Bombyx mori: one gene and its partners. Each later gene encodes a partner of the first gene's protein in a complex. Links are inferred from orthologs where the notes say so. Each region holds a gene or a part of one and is shown in the gene's direction. Other genes may lie near its edges.

What was found.
Region 2: DNA-directed RNA polymerase III subunit RPC3 (region 1) and calcitonin gene-related peptide-receptor component protein share a complex: the UniProt entries of both Homo sapiens proteins name them as parts of the RNA polymerase III complex. The link is inferred for Bombyx mori from reciprocal best matches to the Homo sapiens genes POLR3C and CRCP.
Region 3: DNA-directed RNA polymerase III subunit RPC3 (region 1) and DNA-directed RNA polymerase III subunit RPC6 share a complex: the UniProt entries of both Homo sapiens proteins name them as parts of the RNA polymerase III complex. The link is inferred for Bombyx mori from reciprocal best matches to the Homo sapiens genes POLR3C and POLR3F.
Region 4: DNA-directed RNA polymerase III subunit RPC3 (region 1) and DNA-directed RNA polymerase III subunit RPC4 share a complex: the UniProt entries of both Homo sapiens proteins name them as parts of the RNA polymerase III complex. The link is inferred for Bombyx mori from reciprocal best matches to the Homo sapiens genes POLR3C and POLR3D.

The regions. Positions count from the first base shown.
Region 1 is NC_085120.1:9,119,962-9,126,287, reverse strand, and holds part of DNA-directed RNA polymerase III subunit RPC3, read left to right. Parts: intron 1-991; coding exon 992-1,121; intron 1,122-1,763; coding exon 1,764-1,968; intron 1,969-2,569; coding exon 2,570-2,662; intron 2,663-3,425; coding exon 3,426-3,593; intron 3,594-4,341; coding exon 4,342-4,522; intron 4,523-5,206; coding exon 5,207-5,327; intron 5,328-5,883; coding exon 5,884-5,955; intron 5,956-6,326. UniProt on the Homo sapiens protein: DNA-dependent RNA polymerase catalyzes the transcription of DNA into RNA using the four ribonucleoside triphosphates as substrates.
Region 2 is NC_085116.1:2,994,656-3,000,350, reverse strand, and holds the end of calcitonin gene-related peptide-receptor component protein, read left to right. Parts: intron 1-3,669; coding exon 3,670-3,771; 3' UTR 3,772-4,084; downstream 4,085-5,695. UniProt on the Homo sapiens protein: DNA-dependent RNA polymerase catalyzes the transcription of DNA into RNA using the four ribonucleoside triphosphates as substrates.
Region 3 is NC_085131.1:5,844,595-5,851,466, reverse strand, and holds the start of DNA-directed RNA polymerase III subunit RPC6, read left to right. Parts: upstream 1-3,147; 5' UTR 3,148-3,253; coding exon 3,254-3,441; intron 3,442-3,606; coding exon 3,607-3,811; intron 3,812-3,887; coding exon 3,888-4,139; intron 4,140-4,544; coding exon 4,545-4,781; 3' UTR 4,782-5,280; coding exon of another isoform or gene 5,281-5,612; 3' UTR 5,613-6,696; coding exon of another isoform or gene 6,697-6,839; 3' UTR 6,840-6,872. Other genes in the region: putative OPA3-like protein CG13603, read right to left, coding at 5,281-5,612, 6,697-6,839. UniProt on the Homo sapiens protein: DNA-dependent RNA polymerase catalyzes the transcription of DNA into RNA using the four ribonucleoside triphosphates as substrates.
Region 4 is NC_085113.1:12,566,042-12,572,029, forward strand, and holds part of DNA-directed RNA polymerase III subunit RPC4, read left to right. Parts: coding exon 1-93; intron 94-915; coding exon 916-1,028; intron 1,029-1,397; coding exon 1,398-1,530; intron 1,531-2,259; coding exon 2,260-2,349; intron 2,350-3,314; coding exon 3,315-3,415; intron 3,416-4,371; coding exon 4,372-4,497; intron 4,498-5,367; coding exon 5,368-5,475; intron 5,476-5,988. UniProt on the Homo sapiens protein: DNA-dependent RNA polymerase catalyzes the transcription of DNA into RNA using the four ribonucleoside triphosphates as substrates.

The DNA.
Region 1 (6,326 bases):
CCACATTGTGCAAAAACAATGTGACAAACAAGTTTGTTTGCTCTTCATCAGGGTTCCAAATATATCAGTCTCATAGTACAGGTAATCCTAATTCTTAAAATATACATTAAGGCTGATTACATACAGCAACTACAGGGTAGTTTAACATTCAGTATACAACAGTAGAAAATGCATTGGTCTTTGGGAAGAGACAGTAGGATAACTTTGGCTTCACAGAGCATTACATCTGTTGCATACTATGGATTTTACGTTTGTCACTCATTATTCAAATGCGGTAATAAGCAGTTCCAATACTGGACTGTTAGTATTTGGTGAGACTGGGATAGCTCTGTATGCTAAGCTGAAATTAATCTATTGCCTCATTCCAAACTGCCTCATGCCATTAATCTATTGTAAAATTCTTAAATCTGTGTCAACCATAAAAACGGTATAATAATATAAAAAATTGAGGAAGAAGTAACAGTCACTTTTGCAGATGAATGAATTTATATTTGATAGTTATTAACATATCGTAAATGGGTTAAATGCCCATTTTGAACTTTTGCATTGAAAATGCACGTATCATCTTATTGCTTTTGCATATTTGACTTCATGACTTTTTCTTCCCAATTAATCTACTGTTATTATACTTTTTCTGTCTGTTTTGTTTCGTTTATTTTGAGTAATACTTGTCGTATACCGTTATCCACCAGCTATGATATAAATAGTTACCAGTAAATCAGGGGTGGGCAAATACTTTAAAGCGCGGGCCAAAATGAAATTTTCAAAATGTCTCCCGGGCCGGAGGACTATACCGCATATGCTTTTTTACCGCATATGCTTTTTTAATGCTGATGTCAACAAAATCTCATAAAAGAGTTTAAAAAAATTTATGTGCGGAATTTTTCAACGGGCCGGATAAAATTAGCAAAAGGGCCGGATCCGGCCCGCGGGCCGGCTTTTGCCCACCCCTGCAGTAAATGTTGGTATGATTAGTGTTAATTTTCTTCAGGTATTTACTACAAATTAAAACGAAGTACGGTAGTGAAGCAGAAATATTGATTGAAGAGTTGTTACAAAAGGCATGTTCCACTGCTACCGTGCTATTAGTCTCCATTGCTGTTAAATATAAAGATGACAAGGTACTTAGTTCATAGTCATTTTATAAGCACCACCACTAAAGTGGCATATTTAGATCTGGCATTCTCAGTTTATTTGCAGGAACAATTTACATTTAATATGATAAATAAGATAGTAGAAGGAAAAACTTATAGAAAGCCTAATTTAAGTTGTGGCCAGTGCACATGATAACTCTAACAATATAAATAATAAATCCTTGTTATTACATTGCTTTAAATTTGAGTTTCAGGAATATGCAAAAAAAATTCGGATATCCATTGTCAGATAGACAGACAGAAAAAAACAACAAAATGATTCTATAACGGTTTCTTTTTATCCTTTTAAGATCTGGAATTCCAAAAAGAACCCATTTTACTCAAAATGTTTATTACTTTACATTACAATATAATATATATTATATCACATACTATAATTACTATGGTTATCTAATAATGCGTAAATTTATGGTAGTAGTTGTCTGACGTCCATAACCATACTCACCATACTCACCATCAGGTGGGCCGTATGCTCGTCTGCCTACAAGGGCAATAATAAAAAACCATAAGCACAAAATATTTTGATTTATACAATGTTCCTTATTACTAGGCAAATTATTTGTATTCATTTCTTTTAGCTATTCTGATAAATATTGCTTTCTTCACCAGGAAAAGAACATGACTATAGTGAAACTAAAAGATATCTTTATAAGTCTGATAACCGCTGGTTACATACAGCAGGCATCTGTAGCTGAGTTGAAGGAAGGCAGCGAGATACCGACACTGGTGCCCGTCGCAACTATAACACCAGAGATTGATGTACGAGCTGTCATTAAAATTATGAATTCTGGAAATCTAGCTGAAAGTAGTGATAGTGAGTAATTTCAATATCATCTTGCTTGTCGAACAACAGAGTATGAACTGGAGTTGCCATTGCGAAACCCAGTAATAGTGTTGTCAAAGACAGCCCGGCATTCCCTCTAATAATAAGTCCGAGCATCACCTATGTATGTCACTGTTAAACATGATACTCAATGAGTAATTTTAACACGATCCAAATTATATTTTCCATTGAATACTGCTCGTAGAACAACAGAATATGAACTGGAGATACCGTTGCGAAAGTTAGTGATATTGTTGTCAAAGAAAGCCTGGCATTCCACCTAATAATAAGTCCGAGCATCACCTATGGATGTCTCTGTTGAAAATGATATTCAAATTCCAAATCAAATGAAGAAGAATATTATAATGTGTAGATGATGTGAGAGGCTGCATTGTTGAGCTTTGATGGGTCATGCTGGGCAGACTGGTTAATGGTCTACCTGATTTTAAATGATCATAGATACCCCAATATAAAAACCACAACATGAGTCATGAATGAATGTTTGAATATAAGATATTTGACAGATTGGTAGGCCATTGGTCAATATTGATTTATTAAATAAGAATTTGAGATATTTATGTTATTGTTTCAGATGTGTACTGGAAAGTTAATTACGACAGGTTCCATCAGGATATCCGCGACGAAATTATGATCAAAGCAATCACAAGACGAATAGATGAAAACGGTGAATGTTGTTTTCTTTTTTAAACGTCTTTCGAGGCAGACACAGGGATACGTTAGCAATGCTAGAGGTCATCGAAATTTTTTTTTGTTCTACCCAAGATTGGTTTTTGCATATGTGGATGAAGAAGATTAAGACTCAATTGCTTTCTCTGCTTTGCGGCAGAATGGTACCTACCTGTGCGGGCTCACAAGACGCTCTACTGTAATTAAGAAGTTTATGACTTTTACAGGTTTGATATTTGCCTTCAGTGTCCTAGGAATTGAGAATACTGGCTATCTCTGGCTGGGAGTGCTCTGTGGAATTGTTTGAGATGATACCATCATCTCGTTTTTACCACCGCACCGCCCGCCACCGGAGTAGAGTTCATCCATATTACCTGGACCCACTGCGTTTCCAGAGATCTTTTTTGCCACGTACCATCCGGCTTTGGAATAAGCTCCCCTCCACGGTGTTTCCTGAGCACTATGTCACTGTCATGTCACTCTTCAAAGGAGGCTTGTGGAGAGTATTTAACGGTAGGCAGCGGCTTGGCTCTGCCCATGGCATTGCTGAAGTCCATGGGCGACGGTAACCACTTACCATCAGGTGGGCCGTATGCTTGTCTGCCTACAAGGGCAATAAAAAAATATATCAACATCAACCAAACATTTATGTCATTGTTCAAACGAGGTTTGCGGCGAGCATTGCTGTCATATGAATAGCCGGACAGACTGATATCTTTGGAGTTCCTCTGATGAGTTGTGAATTTTGTATTCTTCTCCAGCCGGTGAGCTTCTTCGTCATATGCTGCAACACATGTACCTGACGTCTCCGGCGTGGGCTGCAGAGTCTACACTAGTGCCGGCCGTGGAATTGAGGGAGGCTTGTCTCCGGGCCGCTGCTGACAAGCCCCTCTTGAATCAGTATTTCGATCAATATCTGAAGGTCTTAGGTGAGGTTTTTTTATGAGTAAGTGAGTATTCTTTAGTGTGCACCCAAAAAAAAAACAATGCGATACGTTAAATAAAAAAGTACAATTGGAGGTGTTATCGCTAAGAGCGATCTCTTCCAGACAAACATCAGGTAGACAAGATTCATTTGGAAACGAATATTTTTTTTTTATGATTGAAGATTTACTGGTGGCCTGGAGGCCTTGCCAGTTTCACCAGGACGGGTGGGCGAGCAAAGGCTCAGCCAGAAGGGGTAGGATTTGCTAACAGCTGCCCGAGCACCTCCAAAGGAGACCTAACAACTCAAGAGCAGCTGCTTCACGGATGAATCTACTACCAGATCGGAATCGCGATCCGCTGAGAAGATCCTTACGTGCGGTGTACTAATCCAGTGAAATATATATTTATACACATACATATGCACAATTGAAAATTCATAAATTATGAGTTGAAGTAATATTGAATTATGGTGAATCTGACGCGTCATTTCGGATCCTCCCGATCCATTATCGGTGCTTTTAGGCACCACAAGCACCTGTCATCGTTTTCGTCGAAACCGTCGCTTGTGACGTAGGTCCCGGCGAGTAAATTGACCCATAGACATAGCCCACTGAGTTTCTCGCTGGATCTTCTCAGTGGGTCGCGTTTACCATCTGGTCGTGGATTCTGCGAAGCACTGCTCTTGCTAGGGTTAATGTTAGCAACACGCTTACGTTACGCTGACATAGCCTCTCAAACTTATTAGCTTAGGCAGGAAAAAAAAGAGTGCGTTGCGTGTGACAGAGGAGAGCGGGTGCGGCACGGTGCGGGCGGACGCGGGGGGGCGGGGGTACAGCGTGCGGGGGGCGGGCGCGGCGCGGGGGTGCCTGCTGGCGCTGCTGGAGGGGCTGGTCACGGAGAGACTGGGCTACAAGGCCGCCAGGATATTCAGGTTAAACTTTGCTTTTTTTTTACTGGTGGTAGGACCTCTTGTGGGTCCGCGCGGGTAGGTACCACCGCCCCGCCTATTTCTGCCGTGAAGCAGTAATGCGTTTCGGTTTGAAGGGTGGGGCAGTCGTTGTAACTATACTGAGACCTTAGAACTTATATCTCAAGGTGGGTGGTGCGTTTACGTTGTAGATGTCTATGGGCTCCGGTAACCCCTTACACCAGCTGGGCTATGAGCTTGTCCACCCATCTAAGCAATAAAAAAAAAATCACACGTCATTTCTCTCGGCACATTTCCACGAAAAGTCACACACCGATTAATCGATCGACGATTTAAGGTCTGTAATTATTATTAAAATACTTTGATTTGTGCCAAAGATATCACGAAATAGTAGTATCGGTAGGCGAGTAGCAGTTTCAGTAACAGATTTTCATTGTCTCATCGATTGATTAGTTAATGAGGCGATATTATTGATTGTAGGGTATAATCAAACAAAACATCCACCACCTATCCGTAGTTCCGTATTCTAATTCGAATTTGAGCCAGCCGGTGTACAATTTAATATTCGTGATGTCCATGGGCTCTCGACCTTAACGCCAGATCAGACGTGAGCTCGTTCGCCCATTTATAACAATGAAGTCAAAAAATATGTTTTTTTTTTTATAATTATTGTATATTTTTTTTCAGAATAATTCTCGATAAGAAATATATAGAAGAGGATGACGTACAAAAAAACGCCATGCTACCAAATAAGGAATGCAAAGAGCTGTCGTATAAACTTTTAGAAGAGCATTTCATTAGTTTACAGGTGGGTATAGTATGTCCGGACTCTTTCGGTTTCAAATTTGAGGTCTACCGTCTGATGCGGATTCTCTCGAAATGATCTTCAGTTCACGTCGGACTCAGAGCCAAGATCTGCAGGGTCGGAGGCTCATATGGACAGCACTGCGTTCATATGAGCCTTCGACCTCACCGAACCCGTTGCAAGCGACAGGTAATTAACCCACAGACACAGTCCACTGAGTTTCTCGCCGGATCATCTCAGTGGGTCGCGTTTCCGATCCGGTGGTAGATTCTGTGAAGCACTGCTCTTGCTAGGGTCAGTGTTAGCAACACTTTCGGTTTGAGGTCGGTGAGCTCACCTACATGTTAGGGCGAAGCTGAAATAGCTTCTCAAGGCTATCAGCATAGATAGGAAAAAAAATATTCAAGTCATTATGTCTATAAACTCTGTTAACTACTTAATATAAATGGATATAATATCACTGGTGTAAGCAATAATGATAAAAAGCACAGATTAGTTGGTAAATAGAATATAGATTATATTTCTAATAATTCATCTAATACATAGGTATTCTTTTCAGCCAATGAGGAAAACCGCGTCGGCCGGCGGCATGAACAAGGCCGTCTATTTGTTCCATATTAATCTACACGACGTGAGTATAATTAATAATTGATTGAATTACAATACGTATCAAAAAAATTATTAAGTAACTGTTCAGTTTCTGAACGTCAAAATGTCAGCGAGCGACGTCCGCCATGACACTATTTCTCCATCAAATCTGACTTTTTGGCGGGAACGCGAGGAGTGAAGTTGTGCGATTTGTTTTATTTTGTCTATTTAGTGTTTCTTAGGGTTTAAATTTGTAATAACCGTGGTTTATTAACTGTTTAGTATCATTTGTGCACTTTCATATATGTGGGAAAATATAACAAAGCCACTGGACGTAACTCCTCGGGATCCTCCAAAAAAAGTCTCAGTAAATGACCGGGTTGTGTCTGTGGGTTAATTTACTCGTCGAGCCCT
Region 2 (5,695 bases), on another chromosome or scaffold:
GATAAATAAGATCTACTATTGATAGTAGAATTGTGAAGTAGTAATAATATGAGAAAACTGCACATTACATATTGCATGATACTAACTCATCCTCAAACTGATAGATGGTTTCTACTACAGTGCCAATTGTCATTGCTCGATATTGCCACAATTTGACAATAGATCACTCTTTCAGCTACAATCTAGTTTTCAGTACAGTAGCAACTTTATCAGTAACTCCTGTAGGACACAACAAACATCTTTACTTTACAATGAGTGAGAACATTTTAAGTGCTGTGCATGCGCTTATTTGTTTCATGACCAAAGACTTCCATAAAATTCCACATTGGAATCCTCAAGTGTTCCGAGACTGTCTCCCTTTAATTTCATGTGAGGACTTTAAATCGATTTGTACTACCCATTAGATCACATTGCAGAATGCTTCGCACAAACGCTACAATGGTAGTAGTCACCTGTGGACATCAAATGCAACCGTCTATCTTGTTAAATGCTGTTATCACACATTAAGAGTAACTGAAGATGCTGAAATAGCAAACGAACCTCAAAAATTACATGAATAAAATATGAGGACTGAATTAAACTAATAAAATTATTCCAAATTTAATGATATTTGAACAGTGGAATGCTACTGGTATTTGTCTTGAAGGGTGGGGCAGCCGTTGTAACTGTTACGCGCTGGGGTTCGAGATAAATAAAATTCCAGCAAAGTACAACTTAAAACTGTATTCAACACTTAAAACACTCAACAAACACTTTAAAACTCTCAATTCGCTTCTTCCGCTTCGCTTCAGGTGATCCGTTCGCTGTTTCGCTTCGAGTAGTTCCTACAACGCTTTTATAGCCGATACCACATCTCTAGAATTATCGAGAATATTCCACACATCTCTAGTATTGTGCTTCCGGTATCTGACAATAGATGGCGTTGTATTTCTCGAGCGTTCTAGATGCTACTATGTCCTTCGATATTCGTTTGACTATTCGCGATAGATGACGTTACTCTTACCGGCGTAACATAACTATACTGAGACCTTAGAACTTATCTCAAGGTGGGTTTTTTTTTTTTTTTTTTCCACAGGAGAAAATCGCCGGATCCCCACCCGCACAGCAGGTGGGGTATGTGGGAGTCGAACCTCACTAAAAACTCCTGCCGCTCACAGCCGGCGCCCTACCCCGGACCGGGTGGGAACCCAGTCGGAGCTATTGAGACGGCGGGACAGGGTTTACGCAGTGCACATTACATCCATCCCGCCGTCCCCCAGACGCCGGACCGGCGGCCGCCAGCAACACGACCGCCGGTTCCCTCGGTCGACGGGCCAAGAGCCCGATTGATAGCGCCGCGCTACACCTTCCCCCGGAGCGGTCGGGGGAACGCGACCTACCACGCCGCCCCACGCCTAGGTTGCTCCCCGCACAAAGCGGGTGGAGCTCGAAGCCCTTAGGGGGCCGGGTCACGGACGGGACCCCGGTCCCGACCCCCTGCTCGGCGGCGGCGGGTTTCTGCGTAGTGAGGAGAGCTTTGCCTCACTCGCCCCGCCGCCTCCTTCTGCGAGATGGTGCACTCGCAGAAGTCGAGCATAGCCTTCCAAGACTCGTCGCCGCCAAGCATCGACGCCACGACGCCAGGCAGCGACAAGTCTGGTCCTATCTTTGCGACAAGGACACGGCGCTGCACCTCCCATGCGGGGCAGACAGCGAGCGTATGCTCCGCCGTGTCCAGGTCGTGTCCACAATGGTGGCACCTCGTCGTCGGCTCAGCTCCTATCCGGTGCAGGTACTTTCCGAAGCATCCGTGCCCAGTCAGCACCTGCACCAGACGGAAGGTGAGGCGTCCTCGGCCACGATTCACCCAGTCATAAAAGACTGGGTAAACCGCCTCGACGGTCCGTAGACCCCACGTGGGGTTGGCCAACCGCCTCGACCACGATTCGAGCACGGACCGCCGAGAATGGGCCTTCCGCGCCCGCAGCTCACTTTTGGAGGGACGCGCCACGCCCAGAGCACGAAGCTCACTGCGCCACCGATAGTCGGCAGCGAGCGACTCCGCCTCCAGTTCCCATGGCGGCGTCCCCGCCAACACACACGCCGCCTCGAATGAGACGGTGCGATATCCACGGATGACCCTGATAGCAACGGTGCGCTGCGGCCGACGCAGGAACCGAGCCATAGTAGCCCGATTGCGCGGCTCAGCCCATACAGGCGCACCGTACAGGGCCATCGATCGCACCACCCCAGCGTAGAGGCGGCGTACAACCTGATCCGGCCCCCCGATATTTGGGAGCAGTCGGTTCAAAGAACCGGCCGTCCTCATTAACCGGGGGACCAGCTCCGCAAAGTGAGCACGAAAAGCCCACCGGCCGTCCAACACGAGGCCGAGGTACCTTAACTGCACCCCGACCCCTATCCGGACGCCCCCAACCACGATGTGGGCGTCGACAGGTGGCGCTCTCCGCGGCCCGTGAAACCACAAGGCCTCGGATTTACTGAGCGCCACGTCGAGGCCCAGTCTCTTTATCCTCCCGACGACGAGGGCCACTCCCGCTGTGGCGAGACGGGCAGACTCTCTATAATCATCCCCCCGGGCCACGACCAAAGTGTCGTCCGCGTAACAAATAACACGGAGGCCCGGGAGGAGGGCACCCCTCAGCACCCAGTCGTACCCGATGTTCCACAAGAGGGGTCCGAGAACCGACCCCTGTGGAACACCACGCACGACCGGAAAACGGTGAAGGGTCCCACCGTACCCGGTACATTCGACCGACCTGGCCTCCAAATAGGAGCCAACCAGCCGGCGGAGGTAGAGGGGCACTCCATGCCTCTCCAGTGCCCCCCCTATCACAGACCAGGGCAGGGTGTTAAATGCGTTGGCGATGTCAAGAGACACCGCCAGCGCCACCCCACCCCGTGAGACAGCCTCGTCCGAGAGGGCCCGCACGCGAAGTATCGCATCCACGGTCGAACGGCCCTCCCGGAAGCCGAACTGCTCCGCCGACAGGTCAGGTCCAACCCCGACCAGGTGCTGAACGATGCGGGCAGCCAGAATACGCTCCAGCAATTTTCCCGCCTCGTCCAGCAGTACGATAGGACGATACCCGGCGGCTGTATCCACCGGGCGCCCCTCCTTTCTTAACAACACAAGTCTGCCCGTCCGCCAGAGCAACGGAAACCGTCCCGACTCCAGGCAACCATTAAATAGCTCCAGGAGCCGGTCCCCCAGGGCATCGAGGGCCAAGGCCAGCACCCGGCCATGGACTCCGTCCGGGCCGGGGGCCGTGTCCTTTGCAGTCATCCTGACAACGGCCACACGGAGCTCTGCCCCAGTGATACGGGGCACCTCAGCAGGGGCTTCGCCGTCGATGGCGTCCGACGGCTCACCCATAGCAGGGGGAACAAAACCCTCCCGCTCCTGCGGGAACAACGCCGAAACGATGTCCCGCAGCTGTTGAGGCTGAAGTCGCTCAGTCAAAGGGGGGGCCCACGGGCGCAGTTTGCCGCGCACCAGCCTATACGGGCTCCCCCATGGATCCGCTTCGAGCGGTGGGTGGCGCATTTACGTTGTAGATGTCTATGGGCTCCAATAACCACTTAACACCAGGTGGGCTATGAGCTCGTCCACCCAGCTGAGCAATAAAAAAAGGTCTCAAGTCAAGTCAAGTTTTTTACTCTTCACAGATTGTACAAGAGAGTGAGGAGAGATTATCTGAAGAGGACGTACAAGACATAATTAGTATAGTTAGCCAACATCTACTTGCAAATGATAATTCTAATACATAATGCAATCTGTGAAGTCGTTCTTGACGTCGATTGAGGAATAAACCTACGTGAAGTGATATTCCTTTAAATAATGATAAGTATTGCATAAGGATTGCGTATTTCGTCAGAACCCGTAATCTAAAGCATAAGCAACTGGCAGGGGTTTTCTGGAGACCAATAAATACATTGCGTGCACCATGTATCGCAAAAAAGATTTTCTATAAAAAAAAAAAGTTATTTTTTAATTTTATAGCTCGGAATAAATACCATCTGCCTCTATTTTCGTGATCAATTCGATATATAAAATTAACTGCAAAATTAAATTGTTTTAAGTAAAATTTTGTTTTTATTGTTACACATTAATAACAAAATAAACACAAAAATTGTCATCGCCAAAAGAATTAAATGCCCGGTGTATAAAGTGGTACTGGTAATGATGCGGCTTTTTTTTTATTGACCTTGTAGGCAGACGAGCATACGGCCCACCTGATGGTGAGTGGTTACCGTCGCCCATGGACTTCAGCAATGCCAGGGGCAGAGCCAAGCCGCTGCCTACCGCTTAATACTCTCCACAAGCCTCGTTTGAAGAAGGACATGTCATAGCGCTCGGGAAACACCGTGGAGGGGAGCTCATTCCATAGCCGGATGGTACGTGGCAAAAAAGACCTCTGGAAACGCACTGTGGATGACCGCAGTGGCTCCAGGTAGTATGGATGAACTCTACTCCGGTGGCGGGCGATGCGATGGTAAAAACGATATGCCGGTATCATCTCGATCAATTCCTCAGAGCTCAGACCTCAGGCTATGGTCTGTTCAAATTTCGTGGAGTTTTAAAACTCCTGTTCATAGCCTACAAAAAAAAAAGAAACTCGTTTTTTGACCCGAACATATTCTACGATCTTAGTTCCCATAGTGGTCCAGGTAGCAAAAGCAGTGCTTCGCAGAATCGACCACTGGATCCGAAACGCGACCCACTGAGAAGATTTGGCGAGAAATTCAGTAGGCTTAGATGAATTTGATCTTGCTGTATTACGTCAGACTAACGCTTACTCAAGTGTGAAAATTTAATTAACAATAATCTATTGCTTACTTCGATCAATAATAGTACTAGATTAAAGATCAGGAACAAAAATAAGACGCTCCAGTGGCCACGTTTGCAGACACGAAAACATCTTCATTTCTTAGAAAAAAGTTTAATAATGTTAACGACTTCAGTTTATTCTAAACCTTAATACTTAAACATAAAGTTTAATTACCATTGCAAAATATATGTATTTAGGTCCTTTCGTCAGAAAAAGAATATTATGGAATAAATTTAAAATGTCACTTGAACTTAAAAAGACATCAGTACAAAAATATTTATTCTAAAATGATACTTAAAGCCTAATTTATAAGGTTAAAAATATTTGTTTAAAATTTCGTGCTTATTGTATTGTGGAACTAGATGTAGTTCTTGGTATTACATTTCAATGCTCAGAACACAGTAAGTATTGAAAGACATAGAGTTGCAGAATATACATATTTGTTTTAGGTTTGTTTTGTATGGTCGCAACTATTTTTGACCGATTTAAAAAAGTAGTAGATAATATTTTACATTGCCGCTATTACAACAAATAGGTGATAAGAAATAAAATTGAATAAAGTAAAAAAAATATGAAAGGAAACACGAAACATGTTTTCCACGTATTCTTTATACAGAAGTTATTAAACCAATAATGTAGGTTTAATTACCTTTAAACAGATTCAGTTTGTTATAAAGCTGTCTTTTAGAAGTCATTTTTATATGAGCGGTTTCTTTTTTACAAATATAATGTAATCTTATATCAATGAATTTTTCTATAATCAGTTTAATTTAGGCTTATTTTATGGCTGTGTTCGTTTCCCCCAGAAAACAAATCCTTTTCAGCATATACGCTTAAAATATTTACACATACATATAAAGTTT
Region 3 (6,872 bases), on another chromosome or scaffold:
TTCTTGTTATGTTGAAAGTCGGAATGAAGGCTTTTAACTTTTTCGTTTCCAAAAGATTGCAGTTAAGAAAGTTATTGGCGTCTTTATAATCGGAAAAGCCAACTACGCACCTATTTCTTCCTATACGCTTTACACTACCGGGAATAATATTTTCAAATTTGTTCTGCTTTAAAAAATTGCCGAAAGTTATAGGATGGAGAACGGTCCCGTCATCAGGTGAACTTTGTATACGTTGAACGTGTATCAAATAAGGGGAAACATCAGTAAGAACATATTCAGTCCGGCCGATCCAACGGGAGTCTGTATTGGTTACTGTAGTTTTCGTGTTATTTGAATTTCCCGCGTTAGAGTCTTGAGAGATATTTGAATTTCCCGCGTTAGAGTCTTGAGAGATATTTGAATTTTCCGTATAAGATGTTGATGGTTGAGAGGACGTTTTATGTGAGTTAATATTATTTTGCGAGTGTGAAGATGACGTCGATTGAGATATAGGTTTAGAACTTTTAGAAGTAATCTTTTTTATTAAAATTGACTCATCTTCCATATTGCATAAACTTTCGCACTGACAGTAATCACCGCTAGAACCACCTTTCTTATTTCTCCTTTTCGTACACTGCCGACAAAGGCGTAGATAACGTGTTCGTTTACGACTTCCTTCACCTGTCTGAGATGATAACGAACAATCCGTATCCATTTTATCAAATTCATCTTGTGAAACAACAGTTACATATGATCCCACGGGGAGATTCAGGCCAACATAGCCATCATCCCCCCGATCGAGATCGGGGGGCTCGTTCATACAATATTTACAAAAATTACAAAAACTTACCAACTATACGATGACACTATACACAAATATGATACAAAGATTACATATATTACAAAAACTTACACTACCAGCTTATCCTCCGCGTTTTAACTATAAAATTAAATTAAATTTTCACCACCGTGAAAAATACGTCTACCATAAACGAAGTTTCCCGCGCTTTTCTTTAATAACCTTAAACGCCTTCCAAACCTCTTTAATAACCTTAAACTCCTTCTCGACCTCTATAACCTTAAACTCCTTCTCGACCTCTATAACCTTCCTTTAACTCCTACTCGACTCTTTTACCTTTAACTCCTACTCGACTCTTTTACCTTTAAAATAAAAATAAAACCTTTCACAAATAAGGATAATTATAAAGCTTGGAGAAAGCTAATTAAATTATTGCTGGATACAAAGGGTTAGAGTCGAGAAGGAGTTAAGGGTTAGAGTCGAGAAAGCAGAGTAACGCAGTGGAAGCGTGCTGGGCCCATAACCTGTTGGATGGTTACATTTTAAGGGGTTGGGTTCTGTAGGTGATGAGGGACTATTTAAAAACACAACTGCTTCATTATAATTATATTGCAGATTGCTTGAACACTTTTAAACCATTATACAATTATTATCTTTATATTTTTTTACTTATTAAAACTATTACATGTTTGTCTTGCCGTGTCTAGATGAGAAGTTCTGACATTTTCTTACGAGAATACAATGATCTGTTTTTTTAAACATTTAAATTAATTCCAATATTCGAAATCTAATCAAGTGTCAAGTGTTGCCTGCCATTACATTTAATATACAAACTCCAACAATATATTTTTTTCCTAACGTTATATAACCAATCGAGCCATAAATACTGTTACAAAAAAAACTTCTTTTTTTCAACTATATAATGATTTTGAATTTGGAACACGTATATTATTTTAAAAACTTTGTGGCGTTTAAGTACGCACCTTTTTATGATGCGTAAGCCGGAACGCACGAGAGGTGGGAAACAGAATATAGTCTGTGACACGGGACCTTTTTTTTACCGCCAAATATTTAAAACGTAAAAACAATTTATAATGTGTAAAATAACTAATATAATATAATTAGCTAGAATTGTTTATGCCGCTACATCAATAAAATTTATATTGTTTCAACTGTGGTGTTAATTACATAAAACACGACTTTACGGCGAAAGAAAGACTCTATATGAACTCCCTCAACTTCTTTCGATTTTGCGCCATTTCACATATTTTTTCGTGTTCATTATCAAATTACAATATGGAATAGGGTGTTAAAGAAAATAGGTTTGCAGTAATCGCCTTACACAAAGTGGATATGGAGCCGTCGGTCATATTCCAGACACTTCAAAAGCTTGGTATCAGCCGTATGTTCGTAAATTGTACTATGAACAGATACAAAAACACTTTGTCTGTCGAAGACCAGAGAAGGTCGGGGCGGCCTCGTGGTGCTAGAGCTACAAAGGCTACTAATGCTGTTAAAGCCAGAATTCGTCGCAACAGCGAAAAATGATGATTCCCGCTAGGACTGTCGCAGATTATAAAACAAGACCTGAAGTTCAGTGCTTATCCTCGATGTACATAACATGACCTAAATCGATCTTTACAATTAAAGAGAGTGGATCGATCCAAACGTCTTGTGTGCAGGTGAATGGCACAGAAATATCCTCTTTACCAATAAAACAATTTTCACGATTGAAGAACACTACAATAAGCAAAGTGATAGTATAATTTAGGGTATGCACACCGTTCTGAAGAAGTGCTATAAAGAAGTGTTCTGCTCAAGTGATCAAAGGAACAACGTAGTCATAATCCTGCGTCAGTAATGATTTGGTGAGGCGTGTCTTATCAAAGAGTCACAAAACTACATTTTTGTGAAAAAGGAGTAAAAACTTCAGCCAAGGTGGCTGATTGAAATTAATTTTTTGGCGGGAACGCGAGGAGTGAAGTTGTGTGTATTGTTTTATTTTGTTTATTTAGTGTTTCTTCAGGCTTATTAACTGCTTAGTATCTGTGAAATTGCACAAATGTGGGAAAATGAAACAAAGCCGCTGAACGTAACTTCTCGGGATCCTCCAAAAAGTCCACTGAAAAAGTCTCAGTAAATGACCTCCATTTTACTGAGATTATATTTCATCCCATATCATCTCATCTCATTTCATTTAATTTCATCCCAGTTGATTAATGTCTCAAATTAATCATCTTTATTTCATTTCACTCCATAATATCATTTTTCATAAAAATATGAATATAAATTAAAATAAGACATGACTTAAAGGTCTTAGTTACCAGGTCATAAAATCCCTTAAAAAATATATATATTTGTTTAGCCCATAGAGTTACTATTCTAACTAAGGTACTTATTAACTCCATGGTTTAGCCCAAGCCCCAAAGCATATTCTAATAAATCTAATACACAAACGCTTAATATTTTCCAAAAATGAGTTCCGAAGATACAAAAGAGAAAATACTAAATCTTGCAAGAAAAAGCTCGAAAGGAATTACAGACAAGGATATAATTGCTGAAATACCTGGCATATCATCAGTAGAACTAGTAACTGCTTTAAATGATCTGCTGAAACAAGAACGTTTTGATTTATTTAATCAAAACGGATCTTTAATTTATAAGTACGTTAGCAAAATAATGAAGGTGTCTAAAGATATTAGCGTAACTAATAAATATAGTCTATTTATAGAATTTTTAGAGAAGAATTGGAAGATTTAGAGAAGAATTTTCAAAGAACTTGAAATAATATTAATAATAATAATATTATTAAATTTTATTCATTTTAGGTTGAAAACTCAAACAAATAAGCACGCAATCAAAGGAGCAGATAATGAAGAAAAGGTAGTCTATAATCTGATTGAAGAAGCAGGAAATAAAGGAATTTGGATTAGAGATATTAGGATCCGTTCGAATCTTGCAAACACTCAACTGACTAAAGTCCTCAAAAATTTGGAAAGTAAAAAAGTGATAAAAGCTGTGAAATGTGTTAATGTAAGTAAATTTAATTTTAAATCAACGAAGATCTATCTGATACTTAACTTACAATTTAAACCTGGTTAATTCACAGGCCTCTAAAAAGAAGGTTTATATGCTTTACAACTTGGAACCAGATAGATCATTGACAGGGGGAGCTTGGTACCAAGACCAAGACTTTGAATCCGAGTTTGTAGATGTCCTCAATGTACAATGCCACAGGTTCTTGAGTCAAAGAGCTGATAATATGAGAAACAATCCTAGGGGACCTGTTTTTGGACGAACACAAGCTTATGCTACTGCTACTGAAGTCCAAAAATATATTACTGATCTGGGAATTAGTAAAGTAAGATTTTACAAACATACACTAACTTTTTTTTTTTTTTTTATTGCTTAGATGGATAGACGAGCTCACAGCCCACCTGGTGTTAAGTGGTTACTGGAGCCCATAGATATCCACAACGTAAATGCGCCACCCACCTAGAGATACAAGTTCTAAGGTCTCAAGTATAGTAACGACGGCTGCCCCACCCTTCAAACCGAAACGCATTACTGCTTCACGGCAGAAACAGGCAGGGTGGTGGTACCCACCCGCGTGGACTCATAAGAGGTCCTACCACAATACACTAACTTGGTCAGCGAACATTTTAAAATACCATGTAGATTTAATTAATTAATGTTTCATTTATATCTACTTATATGATGTTTATTATTACATCAACGTTTTGTTAGTGTTACTTTTCTTTTACAGGTTGTATTAGATGTTGATGATGTAACAACAATTTTAAACACCCTAGTGTATGATGGGAAGGTAGAAAAAAGTGTGTTTCCCGATGGAAGTAATGTATATAGAGCTATAGAAACTCTTATACCATCTTCAGGCCTTGTTCAAGTGCCATGTGGAATATGCCCCTTGATTCAAAGATGTAATTCCTCAGGACTAATTACTCCACAAGTTTGTAATTATATGACTGAATGGTTGGAATAATTAAAAAAAAAATATAATTAATAACATTTTTAATACCTATTTAAATAAGTATCATTGATCTAGTTAAAAGAATATAAGCTTCCTCTACAAATTAAATTGTGACTAGAGACATTATACTTAAAAGCATTAAATAATATATTTCTGTTGAAAACACATACTATTTTAATTCTATTATAAGTTCAAAATTTTTGCTTTTAAAACAGATATTTGTAGAACATTACTTAACAATAGAATACTTAGTTACAATATGAATATTGTGTGCACATTTGAAAAACCAATACTTTTATAACTGTAGATAATTTTATATAGTTAAAATTACGTAACTTTTAACTGAGAAAAGTCTACTTTATAACTTGTCACACAGAAGGCTCCTGTTTTAAAGCAATTTATTGCAAATTAGTTATGGTCAACAACAATTTTGCAACAAATTATTTAACATTCTAGTGGTCATTTCAACATTTTAATGCAAGTACAATGTGTAATTTATACTGTAAAATCCTCAAAATAAACTTCTAAAATTATTCTCGATATTATGCAAAATACCAGAGAGTACAGCTGGCTCCCTCCTATTTCTTGTAAATTTATCTTCATCTCTTTCTTTCTCATATTCAGTATTATTTTTGGGGAAAAATGAGCTAAATGCGTCCATTTGTATATAATTCAACGACTGCAATATTAGGCCTTTATTTGGATAAGGTGTGGGACTAAGAGTTGGTGAATTGTGATTTATATGTTCAGGAACGTGATTATTTAGTGTGGCATCTGGTGGTGATCTCCCATTTGTACTATCTTTGTCAGAGGATGGGCTGTTTTTGGGTGCTTGATCTCCACCTATTAAAAATAGAAAATAAATTGATGATTGATATATTTACATTGTTCTTAGAATCAATACTAAGAAAAAATTTATCAGCAAGCTTTGTCACCAGTTTAAATATTTCCATGCCATAGTGTGTGATATTGATAATATTACAATTTCTGAGATGATAAAATAATTAGAACCTGTACACCACATGATATCAAGCAATAAATATGCATGACAGACTCAAGTACCAACCATACTCATAAATTGAGTTTTAGCGCCAGTCAGAAGCAACAAAACAAATTGCAAACCAACAGTTCGAATTAGTTGGAACTATGTTAACTTAGTGATAAGCAAAAAGTAAAGATTTAACTCTTACTGCTGCCCTTGGGAAGCATTACAGTGTCTGAGAAATATGTATGCTAACACCATCATAAATCAGTATCTTTGAATAAATTAAAAGAACAGGTTACAAATATATGAAAGATTCTATCTATAAAGTACTTTATATTATATTTTTCCTAAATCGAGAATAATAAAATTGGCAGTATAAATTATTTTGCAAATGTTTTGTATGATTTTACATCTCTATGTACTGGTGTTTATAGAAAATAGAAAATAAAAAATGGTCCAATTTGTTTGTGAAGCACATGTCCATATTGATTATGTAGACATTAAAAATCAACAAATAACAACAATGAACCTTCTATTAAGATATATTTAAACAAAATTATTATTTTTCCACAACAGTGGCTTAATGATAGTTTTAGCTGGTCTATAACTGATCTATGGGTGAAGACTAGGCTTTTATAACCACATTTCCAATTACAGTTCATTTGAACATCAGATTTATAGACATAGCAACATGCAAAAAAGGCAGTTTGGTAAATATTTTCAACCAACTATATAACTTGTTCATAAATAAATAAATTTTACTCATATTTATACAGTGTATAAACCCGACCCATAATAACACTATTATCATTTTAAGTTCAAAGTCTTCATTCAAACCTTATAATGTTAAGAAAAGACCAAAAAGACCATATTATATAATGTAAATGGTTCCAAAAAAATTTACAGGTGCAACAGAATTAGTTTTATTTACTAACAACATACCAATAGAATGAATAAGCCTTTCCATTTCTCGGAGTTGTGTCTGTTGTTTTTGCACAGTAAAATACAAATCTGTGATAGTACTTGTGATGTGTTTCATCTCCTCTTCACGCTTGGCTTCTTTGGCTGCTTCTTTTTTACTTTGCCTAAAAATAGTCAAAATACAATTTCGAGACATC
Region 4 (5,988 bases), on another chromosome or scaffold:
AGAACAGCAGGGATTCAAACAGGAACCGGAATTTTAACAGGAATCAGAGAAATGGGCCAACACTAATAAAATCTGCTGGTGTCTTCTCTGAAGGTTAACATTTTAAATAAATAATTTATTTGTCTTCTATAATCATTAGCTACCCATCAAAATAACTGATAATTTATTACAATATTATATTAACAATAATATACAATATTTTTGTTGTTGCTAGTCATAGGCATAATTAAAATTTACAGTTTAATATCAGGTTATGACCACAAAACCTCCAATGTATTCCAAACATTGGAAATAAAGTATTTATTATGTTTAATAGAGTTATTGATGATAAGAAAGTAGAATTACATGTAAAAATAATAATATATATAGTCAGTTTATTTTGCCAATGATGTTTGTGCGGTAATCACTATTACATCTATCAGAATACATTTTTAAAACCAAACTGTTTTGTTGCAATTGAGATGATACATTGACGTTAGTTCCTATAGATTTCACCTTACACAATGAATGAATTCATTTTCATGCCATAATTAAAAGCTATTGTTAAAAGTGAAATGACCATGGCTTCATACAACCGTATCAATATGTTAGTTTAAATTGTTTGAATGATTCATCATTTGTTTTTATAAATCCACGAAACATTCTTCCAATCTCCCGTACAACTGAGTTCTGTGAATCATAGCTACTAAATTAATACAAAATCATTAATCAATCATTAAGTAATGATGTTGAATTCAATCAATGAATGACTCTATTTTTTTTAATGATAACATTACATTCAGAACTTCACAATTCAGACAGGAGTAAGCGTTTAAAAATAGCTGAGCTTTATTCAGTTTGATTACTCCTAAAAATTAAATGAATACTGAAAATTAAGCCAGTCAATAATTAAAAACTCAAAGTAATTGATTACAGGCATCGGTTCATCAGAGAGGCATTCTTCAAGTCGCTCGTACTACGGGCGGGACACAGAAAAAACTACAAACATTATGAAGAAGCCAGCTATCAGAGTAAAGGATTTCGTGAAGGTATTTACATTTAAATTACATTCATCGGTTAATTTTGTTGTAATTAAAATCGTGTAATAAAAATAAAAACCGCAAAATTGTAATTTGCGTAATTACTGGTGGTAGGACCTCTTGTGAGTACGCACGGGTAGGTACCACCACCCCGCCTATTCCTGCCGTGAAGCAGTAATGCATTTCCGTTAGAAAGGTGGGGTAGCCATTGTAACTATATTGAGACCTTAGAACTTATATCTCAAGGTGAGTGGCGCATTTGCGTTGTAGATGTCTATGGGCTCTAGTAACCACTTAATAGCAGGTGGGCTGTGTGCTCTTCCACACATTAAAGCAATAAAAAAAAGTGACCTAAATCCACTATCTATATCTTTCTAGATCGACAAAGAACTGGAGGAGAAGAAGATAAATATGATTTTAAGAGGAGGCGATACTGACGAGCTGGAGTCCATCGACTTTAAGGACATCCTCGACAGGGACGCACCCATCAAACTACCCATGGATGATGGGAGTGAGTTTCTAATCAACTTTCCTGTGTTCATCCAGTATTTTCTATGTAGCGTCGGCTTAGAGAAGCTCATCATCTCCACTCGTGGTTGTGGTGAGGTTGTAAGTGACGAACTGGAGTTAGCTGATAGCGTCCTGCCTACCTCGGTCGTGAAGCACAGGGGTTACACTGTACATTGAGGCTTTCATTTCAATTCTCGAGATTGGTACCGGTATCCGCACTCTGATCTATACCGTCCATAACGACTTCACAGATTAACAAATTCCTGAACATTGGAATGGTATTTTTATAGGATTTAGGATCTATCCAGCTACGGTCCCTTTAAATCAGCGGTCGGGGAATCGAGGTAAATTACCCGAAATGGGGTAATATGAAATTTTGTGGGGTAAAAATGAAACTTTTGTGAGTAAAAATTATATATATATATATTGAAGTGAAACTTCTTTAGAATCGTTGTGATTTCAAATTATCATGGGGTCTATAATATGAAAGATGCTAAAAGGAAGCGATTTCGTTTTTTTTTGTTCTTCGCCATGGGGTAATATCAACTTACACAAAAATATTTTGGGGTAGTAATTAAAAAAGTTCCCCGACCGCTGCTTTAAATTAATGGTTCCTCCTCCCTGAGTCGCATTCCTCATGTCTGAGGGTCGTGACCATCTCCTCCCATCATCCCTCTTTGGATGATGTTTCCGCATCTTCAATATTTACATAAATACATGTCTTTGACAGACTGGGCCAAGACTCATGCGAAACCGAAAGTCAAGGTTAAAGAAGAGATTGTTGTCAAGACAGAACCCCGGGAAGATGGCGACTGTGTTAGTAAGTAGTCTCAATATTAGAGTACCTTTTTTTATGAATGTGTGATTATTGGTGGTCAGGAGGCCTTTTTAGTTTTACCAGGACAATTCGGCGAGCAAAGGCTCAGTCAGGAGGGGTGGGATTTGCTAACAGCTGCCCGAGCACCTCCAAATGAGACCTAACAGCTCAAAAGCAACTGCTTCGTGAATGAATCTACTACCGGATCGGAATAGCGATCCGCTGAGAAGATCCGGCGAGAAACTCAACGCGCTGATGTATGAGTTAGGTTGCACGTTGAACTCTTTGTCGAGTTCGACGAGTACGGGTCCCTAAGCTTGCTCCTAGTGTTACAGCTGAAGGCGTCTAATGCAAGGGTTATTGAATCTGATGGATCCCTAAGGGCGTGCTTAGGGCAGCTTTTGGTTAGAGTCTCATACCCGATCCTGTGGACCGAATGGTAAACAGTCGACGTCGCCCTAAACACGTCATTACGGATCCTCCCGGTCCATTAACGGTTCTTTTAGGTCACCGCCCTCGTCGAACCCGTCGCTTGCGACGAAGAGCTCGACGAGTAAATTAACCCTCAGACACACAGCCCACTGAGTTTCACACCAGATCTTCTCAGTGGGTCGCGTTTTCGATTCGGTGGTAGATTTTGCGAAGCACTGCTATTGCTAGGGCCAGTGCTAGCATCACTCCCAGTTAGAGCCCCGTGAGCTCACCTACTCGCTCGGTTACGCTGACAGACTCTCAAGGCTATCAGCTTAGGTAGGAAATAAAAGTTAGAGTCTAGTCTAGTATTAGCGGGCTGTGTCTATGGATGCTATTTCCACTTTTTTTTTATTGGCAACACCAAAACACGGCTTTAGTTACTAATTAATAAAAAATAAAATCGGTATAGAGAATGCTATTTATCTTTTTTAGTTTTTCCTATATACTTAAGTATATAGATTATGTTAAATGAATAGCGTTTTTATTATTTCCAGTAAGCACACCAGAACGAAAGCCAGACGTGAAGGAAGCGTTTGAAGATACCGACTTAGTGAACTTACTTAATAACGACAAATCAACATTAATTATGTTGCAGGTAACTCCCTCCTAATATATCGTTTCGATCCTGAAGTTGTGTCCTGCCACGGATGGCAACCGTTGATGGCAATGACACGGTTTTTGCCGCCAAGCAACCGCGCGTTGCAATTCGTAGTCATTATTACAATTAAAACTTAAATAGATGAGACCCGGATACTGCTTATTTACAAGAAAAAAAAAATGATGCGCATATTACTAGTGGTAGGACCTCTTGTGAGTTCGCACGGGTAGGTACCACCACCCCGTCTATTTCAGCCGTGAAGCAGTAATGCGTTTCGGTTTGAAGGGTGGGGCAGCCGTTGTAACTATACTGAGACCTTGGAACTTATATCTCAAGGTGGGTGGCCCATTTACGTTGTAGATGTCTATGGGCTCCAGTAACCACTTAACACCAGGTGGGCTGTGAGCTCGTCCACCCATCTAAGCAATAAATAAAAAAAACTTGGTGCACGTGAAAGAAGTGAAACTTCTTTTGCGGTGCGTAGTAATGTGGTTTTCTTTATTTGTCATCAGTAAATCAAATTTCTCTTGTAGGTAATAAGGAATGCTGTGTGTAAGAGAAAGAATTAGCTCGCTTTGTTGCTATCCGCCTCTCCACGGTCGAGTTGTTCGCGAGACGCTCTGTCTATTTTCTCACTCTCACTCTTCTTAAATTGTATTTTTTATCTCTAGCCGTAACGAATCTGTCGCGATTTAAATTTTACTCTCAACGCGCCTAAAGAAGTTTCACTTCAACTAATTCGGGAGCGCTTTAAAGGAACCTAAGGGCCAGTATTTCAGGATACGCTGACGACAAGGATTTCTCTGTACACATAAGGACTTTAAAACACACTACAACGATAATGTTAGCTAATAATATTTTAAACTTGTAAAGAACCGGCGAAACAAATTCAGTCATAATATGCAACTTCAAAGTTTACAGACGTCATTGTACGCTTCATGAAAACGTTTTAGCTTCCCTCGAGTCTCCCGGGCAGAGGCGGCCGCGTCGAGGACGACGTTCCCCGGAGGAGGACCAAGAACGAGCCCGGCCCGTCCGCCGGGGGGGGCGCGGACCCCGGCGCGGCGGACGAGCAGGAGGTGCGTGTGTTTCAACTTTATAATCAACAACCAGGGCCGGATTTAAACTTAATGCCGCTCCTGGGCAGCGGAAAAAATCCGCCCCAATACTGGAATTTTACCTAAACTTATAATTTATATGGTGGTACCCACCATCCTGTCCGGTTCTGCCACGAATCGGCCGGGCCATTCCGATTTGAAGGTTCGGGACAGTCGACGACATGAGTGGATGAAGGGGATATGATACATTTTGTTAATTTTGAGAAAACGGGCAACAAACTTTTGTTACGTGTACTTTTTCTTCGTACACAACTCCTTCATCAAATGCAATTTCTAAAGATAGTCTTTAAACCCGGAGTTTGAATTAAGGTGTTATGTGCCTATTATTAGAACTTCAAACTCCGGGCTTAAAGGCTATATAAAAACTAAATCTTAAAAATGATACTTAACCCCTTCATCCACTCATGTTTCAGTCGTTATACGATATAGTTGAGACTCCGACCGGTGTCGGCATTCGCGTATTGATGTCTATGAGCTCTGATATCCACTTCTCACCGTGAGATAGATCATTGTCGATAAAAAACAAAAATCTCATATAGTAATTTTTTGGGTGGCTGGTGCATATCCGTGTGCTTAGTGCGAGTTTCTTAACATTCTCGATAGCGTAAAAGTTAACCAATTTTGTATGCAGTTGGAACAGCGCCCCTAGCGGCAAACGTACGCAAACGATCCCATTCCATACAAATATGAGCTAACTTTTACACTACCGAGAAAGTAAAAAAACTCGCACTAAGAACACAGATTTAAGTTTACTTTTACGCGATCGAGAACGTTAAAAAACTCACACTAAGCACACTGATGTAGAGTAAAACCGATGTGTTGCTCTCCCAGGAGGACAACAAGTGTCGCCTGACGGACCTCGAGGAGGGTAGGATCGGCAAGCTGCAGCTCCACAGGTCGGGGAGGGTCACCCTGGCTTTAGGAGAAACTGTATTTGAGGTAACCCTTTCTTTTGTATCATTTTTAATACGCTTCATAAGTTATTATGTAATGAAGTCTTTGAACATGATTTTGACCCCTCCAAAATACGGATTAACTCGAAATTTGGCGTACTTATCCAGGACCGATGACAATTCAATATTTTAAACAATTTGACCCGTTATTTACTTTCGCCAGTCAAAACAACAAATACATTTGAGCGCCTTCTTTTTTTTACTTAGCAAATTGGAAATTATTGAATTGGATAGGATAAGGATAATCCTTCTGCTCATATCGTATCACACTCACTCATATCTGTCAATAAAATATTTATAACTAAGTATTGACATCATGCACCCCACACCTTGATTACTATAAATTTATTTTCTATGTTTTTAGTTGGATTTACTATAAAAGCGGGTTTTTAAGTTTTTTTTTAAAACATATTTCAATGGTACTCTGGTTTTTGAATAGTGGTGACTCGCATTGAGTCCGCAAGGGTAGGTACTGCTTTCGTGCTTACTTTACTTAAAC